Linked DNA regions of Caenorhabditis elegans. The protein of the gene in region 2 interacts with the protein of the main gene of each other region in a biochemical or structural test. Each region holds a gene or a part of one and is shown on either strand. Other genes may lie near its edges.

Region 1 (7,837 bases), on a different chromosome or scaffold from region 2:
AAGAGAGAGGAAAATGTTACAAATATCGCACGCATTTCTTAAATTAATCGAGAAAAATCGATAATTTTTTTCTGGAGCAAGCTCTGGAGCCAAGAGTCCTTAAAATCGAAAAATTTTCGATTTTTTCCGATTTTTCATTAAAAATCGAAAATTTTTCGATTTTTTTCCGATTTTTCAGTAAAAATATCTCAAAATGTGGTGAAAATCGATTTTTTTTTTTCAATTTTTTCATTTAAAAAAACGGGAAATTTCCGATTTTTTAGGAGAAAACGGAATTTTTTTGTTTTTTCAGATTTTCTCGAAAAATAGCTAAAAATCGATTTTTTCGTAAAAAAAAAGGGAAATTTCCGATTTTTCAGGAGAAAACGGAAAATTTCCGATTTTTTCCGGATTTTCTCAAAAAATAGCTCAATTTTGGCCAATTGTCCAATTTTTTTGAAAAAATTTTCTACAAAATCGTCGAAAAACGGCATCCTTGGCTAAAGCTCGCTAGGAAAAAAAATTCGACGAAAAAAAAATAGAAACCTGTTACATTGAAGCTAAGATAGGAAAGTAGCGATGGGGCGATGGAGGTTTTTTCAATAAAAATGAAAAATTAGTGATTTTGGCAGAGAAAAAATTATTTTTTAAAGAAAAAAGTGTGTAAGCGCGTCGGAGGGGTAACGGAGGAATAACACAGTTTGACATTGTGAAAATCAAAAAAAAAAACGGAAATTTTTTTTTTAATTCGGGGAATTCGGGGATTAAGCTATAAAATGTGTGTGTGTGTGTGGGCGGGAGAGGAGATGTGTGATTTGGAATTTCAGAGAGAAAGAGAGAGAGAGCGGTGGCCTAACTTTTTCAAGTTTCAAGGCCACGGCCACCACCTCAAAAAATTGGAATAGAGAAGCGCGAATTTCAAATTTTGTATGGGGGAAATGGGGGGAAAATGATGAAAAATCAATTTTTGAAGAGGGAGAGAAAAAACGAGAGAATTAGAGAGAAGAAGAGCAGACATTTTATCGATTGATTTACAAAATCATGCACTTGCTCTTCTTTTTCTTCTTCTGTTGCAATGCCGCCTGTGTCGCCTTCTCGAATACCTGAAATTGGAAAAAATTAGTGAAAAAAAAATCGATTTTTTTTCGGATTTTAGCTGAAAATTGAGACTTTTAGAGCAATTTTTCACTTTTTTCTGGAAAAAAATCAGGAAAAAATTGTAAATTGTAAATTTTTTTTAAAAATTTATTTGAAAAAATTGAACATTTGGGGGAAAACTGGTGAATTTCAGCTAAATTATTTTTTTTTCAATGAAAATCAGAAAAATGGCTCAAAATTGAGCTAAAAACCTCAAATTTGAACTGAAATTTATTAAAATTAAAAAAAAAAAGACTTTTTTCCAAATTTTTTTCTGAAAAATTGGAAATTCGGGGAAATTTCAATGGAAAAGTGAGAATTTTAGCTGAATTTTTTTTTTAAAAGAAAATCAGAAAAATAACTTTTTTTCGATTTTCTTGGAAAAAATTGGAAATTTGGGGGAAAATTAGATGAACTTTTGTTGAAAATTGAGACTTTTAGCTCAATTTTGAGCCATTTTTTAAATTTTATTGGAAAAAATTGTGGGAAATTCGAAAATTTCTGTTCAAAATAGAACGATTTTTTTTTCCGCAAAAATTGAATTTTTATCTGTAATTTTTCCAATTTTTCGAATATTTTTTTAAAGTGATTTTCTCCAAAAAAATTGAATTTTTTGTAATTTAAACTTTTGGAAAATCGAAATTTTTGGACATATTTTAAGTTTTCATTTAAAAAAATCAATGTTTTTGGGTCTCGAAGCGAAAATCGGATTTTTGACTGAATTTAGGCCAAATTTCCAAAAAATTTAGAAAATTCAGCTGAAACTGTCGGAAAATTGTCGAAAAATATCGAAAATATCTTCCAGGTGAAGTTTTACAAGAAAAAGATTGAAATATCAGTTTTTTTTTAAATTTATACGGCCTTTTAGAGCCCAAAATTGTCGAAAAATATCGATTTTCGCCAAAATCTGGAATTTTTCATAAAAATTCAAAATTTTTTGGGTTTTCTCGGCTGAAATTTCCGGAAATTCCAATCATTTTTCCATAATTTTCCATGAAAAATTGAAATTTCAGATTTTTCAGTTTTTAGAGCACAAAATCGTCGATTTTCAGCTCGGATCTTTAAAAAATCATAAGAAATTCATTTTTTCACATAAATTGAAAAATTTTTTTTCAAAAAATCTGGAAAATTTCCACAAATTTGCAACTTTTCGGAAAATTTTTCACGAAAACTTTGGATTTTTGCAGCTTTTTATATCCCAAAATCGTCGAATTTGGAATTTTGAGCTCGGATCTTCAGAAAATCACTGAAAATCCATTTTTTTTTTCATAAAAATTGCAATTTTCTGGGTTTTCGAGGCTGAAATTTCCGAAAATTCCACCCAATTTTCCCATAAAATATTGAAATTCGGATTTTTTGCAGTTTTTACAGCTTTTTAGAGGCCAAAATCGTCAAAAATATAAATTTTCGCAAAAATCACGAATTTTGAGCTCGAATCATTAGAATGTCATAAAAATTGCAATTTTCTGGGTTTTCTTGGCTGAAATTTCTGGAAATTTCGCACAATTTCCAATTTTTCTTCGCAAGTCATCATTTTTTGCAGAAAAATTGGAATTCTGAGCTCGAATTTTCTGAAAACCCTTTTTTTCATAAAAATTCAAAATTTTTTGGGTTTTCTCGGCTGAAATTTCCAAAAATTTCGCTCAATTTCCAAAATAATTTCCATCTCTCAATTCGGTGCTACTGCTGCTTGTTGTACCTCACGAATTCCGTCCTTAGTCTTCGCAGAGCACTCCAAATATGCAAATGCTCCAATTTGCTCAGCAATTGCTCGTCCCTGCTCAGGCTTCACGGGCTCCTGTTTCATTTTTGCCAATTCTCGAACAGTCTGTGGATCACTACGAAGATCTCGTTTATTTCCGACCAAAATAATCGGAACATTTGGACAGAAATGCCTGACTTCTGGTGTCCATTTTTCTGGAATATTCTCCAGTGAATCGGGTGAATCAATTGAGAAGCACATCAGAATGACGTCAGTATCCGGATAAGAGAGTGGACGCAGACGATCATAGTCCTCTTGTCCAGCTGTATCCCATAGAGCAAGTTCGACCTGCAGAAAATTTCGGATTTTTAAGTGAAAAAATTTGAATTTTTAGGGAAAACCCGAGATTTTTAGGTAAAAATTGTATTTTTAGAGGAAAATATGCATTTTTTAGGTTAAAAATTTCAATTTTTAGAGGAAGAAATCTGGATTTTCAGCAAAAATCGCTATTTTTGGAAAAATTTGAATTTATAAGGTTTAAAATTTGGATATTTGGATGAAAAATTGAATTTTCGGGCGAAAAACTCGGATTTTCAGCAAAAATTGCTATTTTTTTTAGAAAAATTTGAATTTTCAGCTAGAGAACCTGGATTTTTAGGTAAATATGGTGGTATTTTTAAAGGAAAAATATGAATTTTTTAGGCTAAAATTTTGGATTGGATTTTAGGTTAAAAACTTGGAATTTTCAGGTAAAAATTGATATTTTTAGGGAAAATTTGGAATTTTTAGGTTAAAAACTTGGATTTTCGGGTAAAAAACTTAAATTTTCAGCAAAAATTGCTATTTTTTTTAGAAAAATTTGAATTTTCAGCTAGAAAACTTGGAATTTTAGGTGAAAAATTTGAATTTTCAGGTAAAAATTGATATTTTTAGGGAAAATTTTTGATTTTCAGCAAAAATCGCTATTTTTGGAAAAATTTGAATTTTTAAGGTTAAAAACACAACGGATTTTAGAGAAGAAAACTCGGATTTTTTTCTAGAAATTTGAATTTTTAGATAAGTAAAATCTTTATGAGGAAAATTTGGAATTTTAGGTAAGAAATTGTAATTTTCAGCTAAAAAAATGGTTTTTTTGGGGAAAACTTTGATTTTTAATGAAAAATTGAATTGTCAGCTAGAGATCCTGGATTTTTCGGTAAAAATTGTATTTTTAGAGGAAAAATATGTGCATTTTTTAGGTTAAAAATTTGGAGTTTTGAGGTAAAAACTCGGATTTTCAGCAAAAAAATTGCACTTTTCGGAAAATTTTGAATTTTTTTTAGGTAAAAACCATTGGATTTTTTAGAGTAAAAATCTGGATTTTCGGGTGAAAATTTTGGATTTTAAAATATGAAAAATGGCAATTTCTAGCTAAAAACCTTGGATTTATAAGTAAAAATTGGTTTTTTTTTTGGAAAAATTTATATATTTTGTGGCTAAAAACTCGGATTTTCAGCCGAAAAACTTAGATTTCCTGGTAAAATTTGAAAAGGGAAAAACCTGGATTTGCAGCTAGCAAACTTGGATTTTCAGCAAAAATTTGAATTTTTTAGGTTAAAAAATTGGATTTTTAGAGGAAAAACTTAGATTTTCGGGTAAAAAATTCGAATTTTCTTGTGAAAAACCCTGGATTTTCAGATGAGAAAATTCGAATTTTCTGGTGTAAAACCAGGAGTTTTAGGTTTAAAATTTGGATTGTTGGATAAAAAATTCGAATTTTCGGGGGGCGAAAACTCGGATTTTCAGCAAAAAATTGGCATTTTTTGGAAAATTTTGAATTTCTAGCTAAAAACCTGGATTTTTAGGTAAAAAAATGGCAGAAAATACTGTTTTTCTCGAAAAATAACACACAAGTTTTTCTGAAAAATCTCTCAAAATTCCTCAAAATTTTGCTTAAAATCGTAAATTTGTGTGTGCATTTCAGTCAATTTATAGGCGAAAAACAGTCATTTTTGCCAATTTTTCTTAAATTTTTGGTAAAAAAAACGGGGAATTTTCACGAAAACTTTGAGAAATAGGGAATTTTCAGCAAAAAAATAGCTGAAAAACACGATTTTCAGCTTAAAAAAATATAAGGCAATTTTCGACTCAAAAATACGATTTTTTTTCCTCAAAAATCGCAATTTTTCACTATTTTCAGCTCAAAATCACAGATTTGCTCCTTCTAGTCAAAATTTATCGGAAAAACATGACTTTTAGCTCAAAAAACGCGATTTTTCACTGTTTCGAGCCAATTTTTTCAATGATAAGCTCAAACCCGGCTGAAAAGCACAAATTTGCTCCTTTTAGTCAAAATTTGTCGAAAAAACAACGTGTTTAGCTCAAAAATCGCAATTTTTCACGATTTTCAGCTCAAAAATCACAAATTCCTTCATTTTGGTCAATTTCCGAACGAAAAACTCGATTTTCGGCTCAAAAATCGCATTTTTTCACAATTTCTTCATCCAATCCGCACCTGCTTTCCGTCAACTTCAATGTCGGCAACATAATTCTCGAAAACAGTCGGCACATACACGTCTGGGAACTGATCCTTTGAGAAAACGATGAGCAGGCAAGTTTTACCGCAGGCTCCGTCGCCGACGATCACCAACTGCAAAACAAAAAAATAGTCAATTTTAAAGTGGAATTTCCGAGAAAATTTCGATTTTTTCGGGAAAAAAACGACAAAAATCGATAAATTCGCCTCAAAATCAAGGGAAATGACAAAAAATTCAGTTTTTTTTCGTGAAAATCGATATTTTCGTGTGATTTTGGGCTCTGGAGCCATTTTCATTGAAATTTAGTGAAAAAATATGTATTTTATCTGAAAAAAACTGAAAAAGAGCTCAAAAATTGTCAAAAACTATTATTTCGACAATTTTTGAGCCATTTTTCAGTTATTTTAGATAAAACACATATTTTTTTCACTAAATTTCAATGAAAATGGCTTCAGAGCCCCAAAATCGCCGAGAAACATCGATTTTCGCGAAAAATTGCTGAAAAAACTGAAATTTCTGTAATTTCAAGGAGAATTTATCGACTTTCGTCGTTTTTTCTCCAATTTTCTCTCCAATTGAGCACAATTTAATGAGCCGCGGAGCATCAGAATGAGAGGAGCTGCTGCTCACCTTCTTTCTAATCGCAGCCATCTATCTCTATGTGTGTGTGTGAGTGAGGAACGCGAGAGGGAACACCCGTAGAGCCCTGCAAAAAAAAGGGAAAATTAGAAAAAATTAGATTGGAAAATTGAGATTAACAAATATTTAAAAGAGAAAAAACAGGAGAAAATGCGAGAAAAATGGGCTTTTATCGGGAAAAATCGCTTGAAAATGAGCAATTTCATGAGTATTCGACACATGCCTCCTTAAAGGCGCAGGGACTAATTCAGATGGGTCTCGCCGCGAGAACACAGTTTTTTTTAATTTTTGTGGCTTTTTCAATGAAATTACTTGATTTTTAGCGAATTTTGTCGTTTTTCTCCCATTTTTTTGGTGAAAATTGTCTTAATCACCAAAAAAAATGAGAGGAAAACGACAAAATTCGCTAAAAATCAAGTAATTTCATTGAAAAAGCCACAAAAATTTAAAAAAACTGTGTTCTCGCGGCGAGACCCATCTGAATAAGTCCCTGCGCCTTTAAGGAGGTATTTCAAAATTTTCCGTGAAATTCATTCGGCCAAATTTGTGAATTTGGTCGCTTTTTCAACGGAAAAATCGCTTGAAAAGGGTGGAAATTTAAGTTTTCGCCACGAAAATCTATGGAAAAATGGAATTTTCGACGTTTTTAAATGGAATTTCGCAGAAAAATTTCAAATTTCCAAATAAATTTGTGAATTTGGTCGTATTTTGACCGAAAATTCCAAATTTTCAACGTTAAAAAATGGAATTTTTCCAGAATATCCATGAAAATCCGGCGAATTTCCAAATTTCTGAACAAATTTGTGCATTTGGTGGAATTCAACCGAATTCGAGCAACGGAAAATAGCTTGAAAATGGCCGAAAAACTTCAAAAACGTGGAAAATCACGAAAATCGCAATTTTCAACGGTGAAAATGGAATTTTTCAGAAAATTTCCAGATTTTCGCTTGGAAAACCACAAAAATTGCTTTTTTGGAGCAATTTTTTCGGCAAAAAAAAAACGTATAGACGTCAAAAATTATGGCCACTGGGTAGATCACTGGTAGTGAGTCACTACTGTATGTGTTGGTTGGAGACACCCCACTCACACCACTCACACACACACAACGACACTGACATAGAGAATGGTACAGTGATGATGATGATGATGGGAGAGAGAGAGAGTGGGGAGAGACACAGAGAACACAGAGAACACAGAGAGCGGAGACATCGATTTGCAAATTGAATGCCAATGATGATTCATCTTGTGTGAAAGAGAGAGAGAGAGTGGCGAGGGAGGTGAGAGGAAGAAAATTCAAACCGATAGTGGGGAATGTCTGAAAAAACTGGGGTGTGGCGGGGGAGGTTGGCGGGATGATAAGAAGTAGATCACAATTAGTCAGCGGAAATGTGGTCAGAGTGTGTCCCGTTTCGGCTTGATCTACGTTGATCTACAAAAAATGCGGGAGTTGATTGAGACGCGCAGACTTTTCAACTGATTTCGCGCATGGTTAAGAACGTGCTGACGTCACGTATTTTTGGGCCAAAAAAATTCCCGCATTTTTTGTAGATCAACCCGTGATGGGACAGCAGCCTGGCACTACGTGAGTCAGCGGAAGTGCCGGATTTTTTTTCTTCGAAAATCGACCATATTACGGGAACTAGGACTTCCATGGTAGGCAGGCGCGGTTCCACTGCCTGCCTGAAACCTGCCTGAGAATTTACAGATTTAAAATTTTCCCATTTTTATGAATTTGGTGAAAAACAATTTTAGAGATGAAAAAATTGAATATGAGGCACGGATGGAGGTCGTAAGGTCAGGCAGGCAGGCAGAGGTCGCCTTATGGTCAGGCAGGCATGCGTTTTAACGCCTACATAGAGGTCC
Region 2 (4,705 bases):
AATGTTTGAGATACTGAGTTAAGAGGACCACTCTGCCGTAGATATGAATCAGTGGAATTCTAAAAATGAATCAGAATATTGCAGTTTTATAGAAAATAGTAAACATTCTTTTTTTTTAAATGTTTTAGTTTAAACTGTCATTGAATAAATAGGTTACTGTATTCAAGGCAGCAAAACTTAAATTCAAAAAAGTAACTTTTACCACAATTTAAAACAACTGTGAACAGTTTTCACTAGGAACATTTTTCAGAAATCTTGCTATCAAAAATGTTAAATTTGAAAGTTTATTAGTTAACATTACCGGATTATTTTCGTATTTTGCTTTTATAAAACGTTTCATTCTAATAGAAAAATATTATAATAATTGTGTTTTACAATTTTCGAAATAAATTTGAACAGATCACAAGGAACATAAGATAAAAAAATTTGCATAATTTTTGGAAAATTTGAGGAGAATATTGTCATCTGACTCATGGTTTTGGTTTGCTATTTTGACATCGCTGACTTGGGATTTAAAGAACTTCAAATACGATTTAGAAAATCTGAAACTCATTTTCCTCATACATAAATAGATGTTCAAATGTTTCACTTTTTCAGCAGGAAATTTTGTTTTATACTATTCAAAATCTTATTAATCAAATATGTTTCAACTTACTCTCCCATAGGACCTATTTCTGGGAGACCGCATTAAACAAATAATTTAGTAAATGAACTGAAAAAGAAGAACTATGAATAAAGGTTGGGAGTGAATTGAAGAACGAAAAGTTGAAGAAAAGGGAAAATAGAAAACCATGGATTGACACATACAAAAACAAAATACGTATGTGTATGTAAACGAAACAGGAGAGCAACCGCTACCAAAAAACAACGTTTCTCGAAATTTTTGGAATATCAATTTTAAGATTTTTTTGTAGATCAGAATGCAGCTTACATTTTGTTTCCAGCGACCTAACGTTGAACTTCTACTCGGCGTATGATGAACCGATGAAACAATATGACGGTTTCTGAAAATGAATAATGAATAATTTTGAATTTAATTTCAATAACACTAAACGCTCTTTTCAGATTTTTAAAAAACCCTGCGTAGTTTTCTACTTAGAAAGAATCTAAATTCGTTGGAAACAACGTTTTTTGTTAAATCTTGAATAATCTAACATTTTAGTTATAACCAGAAAAGTGAAATGCCAATATTTATTGGCATTTCCATCTGTGTGAGAAAGTTTTAAACAATTAAATATTTCAAAAAGGTACAGAAAAGGCGCGACTAGACACACTTTTTTACTGGATGCGTGATTTGGTATATGAGCGTAGACCGTTAATCTAGTAGCGTCTCGTCGGAGCAGCGTTTGCAGAGAAAATATTTTGAACATTTGAAACAGCATCATTCAATTGAAACGATGTGAATGATCAATATTCCCATGCAAAAATAAATCGAATGAATAAATGGCTTGTTTAACTTTTGAATTGTTTCAGTTTACAGAAAGGATAAGCTCAATCAATTTTTCCGAAAAATATAAAACTTGAATTGATTTTTTTAAACAATCTTTTGATGCAAGAAAAAATATAATTCCGAACTACCAGGTTAAAAACAATTTCTCAAGGCTACTGCCAATTAAAAAAACAAGCTATTTAAATTTTCTAATTAATACAATGTTTTAGAGAATTTTCGAGAGTTTTTGAATTACCTTATCCAATTCCTTCCTCGTTCAAAATCCATATTTCACCTAAACACGCATTCCTCCTACCGGTAGAGGGAAAAACGTCTAACTCTCAAAAATCAAACCGAAACAAATCATTGAGAGAGGAAGATCGAAAGAAAAAAGAACGAGGTGAGAAATGTGGGTGTGTGGGAATGAAGGTGACGGGAACTCACAGAATGATGTTTAAAACAGCTGATTCCAGCTGATCGATAATGTTCAGAACCGGAGTCGTATCCACAGAGCACGTATCAAATTTCAAGTCTGGAATGAACAATTTTTCAGACTTCTCTTGACAGGTTCAGAGAAGACTGGTGTCAGTGTACGGAACAGCATTACAAATTGATTATACTGATTGAATGAAACTTTGAGATTAATTTTTTTGAAATCGTTGTAGGTTTTATGACTGATAAAATTCTACGCCAATAAAGTCAAATCGTTACAATTTTTACAAAATTATGTAAAAGCTCAAACTCCTAATAAACAATTACATAACATGTATCTAGAATTAAACCTAATAATAGTAATTCTGAAACTGAAATATATTGGAATATCAGAGGAACTATCAAATGATGCCGGAAATAAAATGAACATTGGCCTAATGAAATACGTTTAGTATTCCTGTGATGATGCACATAAAACAACTTTTTTTTGTCTTTTTCCACGAAAAGAGAGAGTAAAATTAAATGAGAAATGTGTGCAGAAGAGCAACAGAAGAGAAGAAGATGAGAGAATATGCTCTCACTTACACATACCTTTGACGGCTTGCACAAGTTGAAGAGACAGCAAAATGATGGGATTTGTTTTGAATTGAGAGTATTTAAACAAGTCCCGCATGGATTCTGACACCATTTCCAATGATGCATGCACATTTACACACATTGATTCACCGTCTGCAAAATTTGTAATTTCAGATGAGGAAGTTGAGTATTACATAACGTTAATTTAAAAAAAAAACATGTAAGCTCTGGAAGTTACAGTTCGATCGTAGGAAACTTCAAGGATCAGATAAAACATTTAGTGCTCCAAAATAACTGTTAGTACATTATTAAATAGGCTTTTCGATTTTCAAGGCTTTGCTGAAAAATAGTTTCAAATTTTAAACCATTCACCGAAACATTACATTTAAAAATCTAGTTGTATTTTCTTAACCTTGCGCGTTTTCCTGAATTTCCGCTACACTCTATAAATAATTTTTAAAAAAATTTAATTTTCAGACATACCAACAACCGAAGAATTGAGATCCAAAGTTGACCGAAGTCGATTTATAAAAACTGAAAATCGATCAATATCTCTACGTATTGATGCCGGAATTCTGGTGTCAACAATGAAATCGGCATCATTTGAAGAGCATATACTGCTCGTCGACGACATTGCGTCGACTTGATTTCAGTCAACTTTCTGAGAGTTTGTCTGAAAATATTTGAGAATAAATTAAAGAAAGAGCTCATTGAAGCGGTTTCAATTACAAGAGTATTCCATGATCAACGAAGGAAAGGAAGACAACAAAAAACAATAATCATAAAAAGAGCTTCAAAGAAAATATTTCCGTTTTTAATTGTGAAAAAGTTGTGCGCGATAGAGATATGACATAATTTTTCAGACACTTCCAGAATACTTTTAGGAATGAGAACTAGAGAAAAACAAGAGCACATTCCAGGAAAATATATATCTATTTTCTATTCCTACTGAGCTAGTTTTCAAAAAAAGTCCAATAAAAATGCCTTCCTTTCTACTGGAACTATTCCTCTTTTTCACGTTTCACTGATCTCAAAAATTGATAACAGAGGTGGTTTGAAAGTTCATAAACCTTGAAAAGCAATGCTTCAAGATACATGGATTCACATTTTTGTCACGAAAAAAGAAAAAAGACAGATCTAATCAATTAGACTCCCGTTATACATTTTTTTTGGTGAAAACAACGAATTCCTTCTCTTTTTCGCGATTTTGATAGTAGAATATTTTAAAATCAACAATGTTTGAAAAAGGAATTCATCAAAAAGATTCGAATTTCTGAATTTAAAATTTTTAAAGGAGCAGATACTTGAAATGCGTGAGAAAACGCCTACTGGCAAGAACTGTGGTTTGATCAAAGGGTTCGGTTTATTGAAAATGAAAGAATCAGGAAATTTTCTTGATATTTTGAGAACACGGATCTTTTAGAGGAAAATAGGATATATGAAGTTATTTTTCCAAAAAAAAAAAAACAGAAACGGAATGTAAAATAGCAGTAGAAAATAAAAAATGAATGAATACAATTTTTGTCGTTACATTTTTTTTTTATCTACGATGATACAAATTTTCTACAGAAATCCAATTTTATAATTGAATTTATTCTCTTAACTGAATATCTTGTTCTCAAAATTTCAAAATGGGAAACCCCGGAAATTTCAGTTTCAATAATGAAAATAAATTCAAATAGAGAAAAAACATCTTTCAAAATATGGTGTGAAAACTTTTCCCAAAAAAATTCTCAAAAACTATCCTTTTCCTATCCGCATCATCATCATCATGTTCTGGAGCACAAGAGAGAAGGATGACGTCTGCGATTCTTCCTTTTTCTGCCCCACGCTTTCTTTTGTTGGTTCCACAGATTGGGTGAACGAAACGGAAATGCTCAAAAAGCACTCTAGAATGGAAAAAATAACTTTTTAAAATAAGGAACTTTGTTTTTGTTTTTGCTTTGTTTTTGAAACTGGACAACTTTTTTTCGGAAAATTCAGAAAAAAAGGAAAAATGTGTGCTTTTTTTTCAGAAAAATTTCAAGAGAACTCAATTTCAATTTCCGAACTTTATTGTCTTTGTTCTTCAGTTTTTGTGTCACAATTCGAAAAGAGAAATTATATTGTAGAGTATAATTTAGAACAAGAGCATTTTCTTGTTGCAGTTCCCATTATTTTTCCAGAAAAACAAACTATTACAGCGTAACTTAAACAAAAAGTGTTAATCTATACACAAAACATAGCTTCAAATAAACAAAAAAGAAACGGAAAACTATTTTGATCACT
Region 3 (4,158 bases), 310 kb from region 2:
ATTTAAAGCAGACGAAAAATGTTTGAACATGTTCGAATTTCTAGTTTTCTGCGAATACCTAACGAGACCCAACAGTTTGTCCGTAAAGCGCGATTGCAAACGCGCTTTCAAAATGAGCATTTTTCTGCGCTTCCATAATAAAAATTAGAATAAAATTGAGCAACCCATATTAATTGTTTTATTTTCAGTCTGATTGTCTACTTGCTGGTCTTCGTTTCACAACAAAACATTATAATGATTCAAGTACTCCAAAATCTCTTCGTCATTTGATTGAAGTGAAATAATTTCATTTTTTGTCAATTTGTTCATTAATTCTAGTCATCCTTGCCTCTATTTTATGTTCTCTTATCGTTTCTAGTTGAAGCCCATTTCCTCATACACGGTGATTATGTTCCTCTCCTCGTCAAACAGTACTTTTTGTCAGTGATAATAATTATTTTTCGTTCCAATTCACCCACTCATTAATTATTTTTCTCAATGCCTTATGGTTCCGGTTCTTCTTTTTCTACAACACCCACTTGTATACTTTTCAAGATCTTTTATAAACATCTTAATTTTTTATATCACACCTTTATTGTTTTGGATCGCAAATATATAACAACAATATGTAGAAAAATTAAAATACAGAGTTGTTCTGGAGAAAGGAGGAGGGAGACACAAAACGTAGTGGATGAGAAAACAGTTTAAAATGGGAAATGGATGTGTGAAGGCAGAAAAGCACAAAAAAAAGGAAAGAAGAAAAACAAACTGGTCGGTATTTTTGAGCAGCAAATGAAGAAACAAGCGACTCGGGATGTAGTTGGTTGTGCTATACAACACCTATTATATAATTATAAAAAGAACCATGGGAAAGGAGAAGGCGCATTACGTAACGGTGTATCCGGACTATAAACACGTTTTGGGATAAAAAAGAAAATAAAAACGACGACGAAAATGTTAAAGAGGAGGTGTCATTGAAAAGAATGATAGTTAATTTGGATGAACTTTTAAAAATTTTCGAGGGGATTATTCGATAAAAATTCGAAAACAGATGAGAAACTATAAACTGCCCTGCTTATCGAAATTCTATACGAAACAATTAAAAAATTCTGGAATCATGCTCATCGAGATTCTACTGGATAAGTTACAGGAGACGAATTGAAGAAAATCATCTTCTATGATGCTGTCAAAAATAACAGCAACCGCTTCTCGTTTGGCATTTTTCAGGGAAATTTAGAAGTATGAGAAGAGTGGAAGTCGGGGGCTAAGAAAATTTGGACATAGAAAGAAAAACACAGTCACAAAACAGAGGAAAACATGGAGACAAGGAAGACGTTCCTAGAGAATATTGCACTTCTTCTTCTTCTCCTGTTGTGGTGGGTCGAGAGCGGCCAGAATGGCTTCGTCGAATACATTTTTCAGTCCCTTCTGAAAATAAACTATTTAAACTTCAATATACAAGCGTTTTTAATCAACATAATATGAAAACTATGGTATTTTCAGCCGGAATATAGAGCATTTCAGGAGATAATTTTTTGCACAATAAAAACAGAATTCTGGTTGTTCGTTTTTCCCGAAAACATGACCGTTGCTAAATATAAAGCAACAATTTAACTGAAAAGTGATATTTATATTTTAAAGTGTCACGTATTTCCACAAGAGCCTCGTTTTAATATTTAAAAATTTATTATTTGATTAGGTTTCGTGGATTGGATGATATTTTATTTTAATGTTTCAATATTATCAATGACTATTTTGGAAAGAATGACTCACCTGCGTCAACGCTGAGCATTCAACGTATTTCACTGCTTTCAATTCCTTTGCCAACTTCTCTCCAACATCCGTTGACACTGGTTTCTGCTTGTTTTTTGCCAGTTTCTCGAGCATTCCTGGATCATCCCTGAGATCGACTTGAGTACCAACTAACAAGAATGGGGTCTTTGAGCAATGATGCGAAATTTCAGGCACCCACTAAAACAATTTCAGATATATAGAATAAATTCGAGAACAATATTTCTTACTTTTTCTCGGACATTCTCGAATGAAGCTGGAGCAACCACGGAGAAGCAAACAAGAAACACGTCGGTCTGTGGATACGATAGAGGCCTTAATCGATCGTAATCTTCCTGTCCAGCAGTATCAAACAATCCTAATGTGTATGGCTCGCCACCGATCATTACTGTGACCTGAAATTCGGAAATTATTTTTATATAAAATAATTTTTTTTTCTTAAACTTACGGCGTAATTGTCGAAGACTGTCGGCACATACTCAGAAGGAAACTTGTTTGTGGTATAGCTGATCAGGAGACAAGTTTTACCGACAGCTCCATCTCCAACGACGACGCACTTGATCGTCTGCATTTCGCCTGAAAAAAAAAATGAATAAAAGTATTAAAATTACGTCTTTATAGTGAAAAATACGGATGAGTCACATAAATGTGCACGCACACGTTTTAAAAGGAGAGATAACTAGAGAATGAAAACGAATTGCGAAACATCAGGCAGAAAATCAATAGTCTCTTTCGAAATGCCACGAGCGTTTCTTTACCATTGGGAGCAATAATTATCGAAGAAAGAGCAAGAAAAAAAAACGGTAAACGCCTTAATAAACGATGAAGAAATAAGGCAAAATGGCCAAAACAACTTGTGCGTATAATTCTTTAGATGAGGAATTTTGGCAATGATTCATCGGTAACTGGTCGGAAGTTTGAATCGGTTTTCCGTACCAAACAACTTGCATATATTTGAAACTAGTTATATTTAAGAAAAGGTACAAAAATAGGAATAATTCGACATGAAACACTGGAACATCTCAGTCAGGATTATGTTAGGGGAATTTGGAAGCAATGTTCAATAAAATGTCACGAAAATGATTTCAATAATTGTTAAACAGTCAGACAAACTTAAGCGGACCATTTTTTAAATAATTTAAAACATGATTGCTCCTTTCGAGAAAATTTATCAAATTAAAAACTGATAGGATACTTCGATCGTCTACCTACGTTTATTGATTAATTCTGCTCTTATAAATGAATAATCAATAATTAGAAAAAACAATAAAAGCCTGTAAAACAACGAAAAGCGTGAATGAGCTTTGTTGAACACGGCGAAAAAAGGAAAAAAAGAAGATGGTGGACAGTTTGTCGGCGAGCCTAAAGACGACCGCGACGCGGCCGCTCGCACTCATAGACTACGCTAGTGGTGAGATACGCAGAGAAAAAGACGAGAGAGTATTGAGAGAATGGAGACATCACTACATCTAACATAGGGTCGCCAGTCGTCACCGAATTATTGGATTCAAATTTAGGTCCCGTAACTCGTGAAAACTTATTAGATCGGTCAGTTATCTAGATAGAGTACTTGATTAGACAAATGATATCCCAGACTGGTCAGTTTCAGTCTAGAAATGACGCTGTAAACTTCGTAAAACCACCAAATAGGATTTCTAAAGTCATCATCTAGAATTTAAACTATATCTCACTTTGTTACGCTGTGAGGATATTATACATACATATTTTGTATGTAAGCTTAGTCTATAACTAGCGTAACCCGTTCCATGCTAACAGACGGGCGGCCATTTTAGTTTTTTATTTTTCCTGTGCGAACGATTGCCAGCCAGAAACTTCTTTCTTTTTTCTTGTTTCTCCTAGTGCAGAATATTTGTCCTCAATTTATAAATACCATCTCTAGAATATTAACTTCGATTGAATCCGTTGTGTTTTCCATTTTTTCTCAATTGTATTTCGTAAAATTAATTTTAAAATTGCCTTCTTTTTAATTTTAAGGTTTTATATTTCAATATGCTATTTCGTATTTTTTGTCTTACATTTCTAGATAGAATTCTAACAATGCTCCGATTGAATCTCACTCGCGAAATTTCTATTTCTCTTCTTTCACTTCAATCCAATCGACGATTCAATCTGCCCTAAATTTTTAGAATTGCATATTTTCTCTTGATAACTTCATTGTAAACCGTGTGAATTCCATGAAATTACATGTTCGTAATACTTTTCCCAATTAAAAGAAGAAAAATTTGGAGTTTCGATAACCGACGGCGCGTACTTCTCTTCTTCCTTATTGTTCGATCAATAGTCCCCCAATCCGGTTCCCTGCCGCGTCTCCTCCCTTTTCCGCGCGAGATGTGCCTGCTTTTCGTTCATGAATTTCGTTTACAACGT

Evidence for each region.
Region 1: of the proteins of spv-1 (region 2) and rho-1, one has a biochemical effect on the other in vitro, tested with the Caenorhabditis elegans proteins (one study listed by BioGRID).
Region 3: of the proteins of spv-1 (region 2) and cdc-42, one has a biochemical effect on the other in vitro, tested with the Caenorhabditis elegans proteins (one study listed by BioGRID).

Annotation. Positions count from the first base shown.
Region 1 is NC_003282.8:16,482,982-16,490,818, forward strand, and holds the start of rho-1 (Ras-like GTP-binding protein rhoA), read right to left. Parts: upstream 6,041-7,837; 5' UTR 5,986-6,040; coding exon 5,965-5,985; intron 5,448-5,964; coding exon 5,313-5,447; intron 3,167-5,312; coding exon 2,816-3,166; intron 1,083-2,815; coding exon 1,011-1,082; 3' UTR 1-1,010. UniProt on the Caenorhabditis elegans protein: Required for ventral migration of epidermal cells during ventral enclosure in the embryo and for cell elongation. Also required for ventral migration of P cells during larval development.
Region 2 is NC_003280.10:7,925,585-7,930,289, forward strand, and holds the start of spv-1 (Spermathecal Physiology Variant), read right to left. Parts: upstream 3,072-4,705; coding exon 2,921-3,071; intron 2,839-2,920; exon of another isoform or gene 2,761-2,838; intron 2,591-2,760; coding exon 2,453-2,590; intron 1,962-2,452; coding exon 1,874-1,961; intron 1,718-1,873; coding exon of another isoform or gene 1,686-1,717; intron 1,005-1,685; coding exon 932-1,004; intron 60-931; coding exon 1-59.
Region 3 is NC_003280.10:7,614,640-7,618,797, reverse strand, and holds cdc-42 (Cell division control protein 42 homolog), read right to left. Parts: upstream 2,347-4,158; 5' UTR 2,342-2,346; coding exon 2,219-2,341; intron 2,166-2,218; coding exon 2,001-2,165; intron 1,951-2,000; coding exon 1,753-1,950; intron 1,408-1,752; coding exon 1,318-1,407; 3' UTR 553-1,317; downstream 1-552. Other genes in the region: R07G3.8 (CYRIA/CYRIB Rac1 binding domain-containing protein), read left to right, coding at 189-284.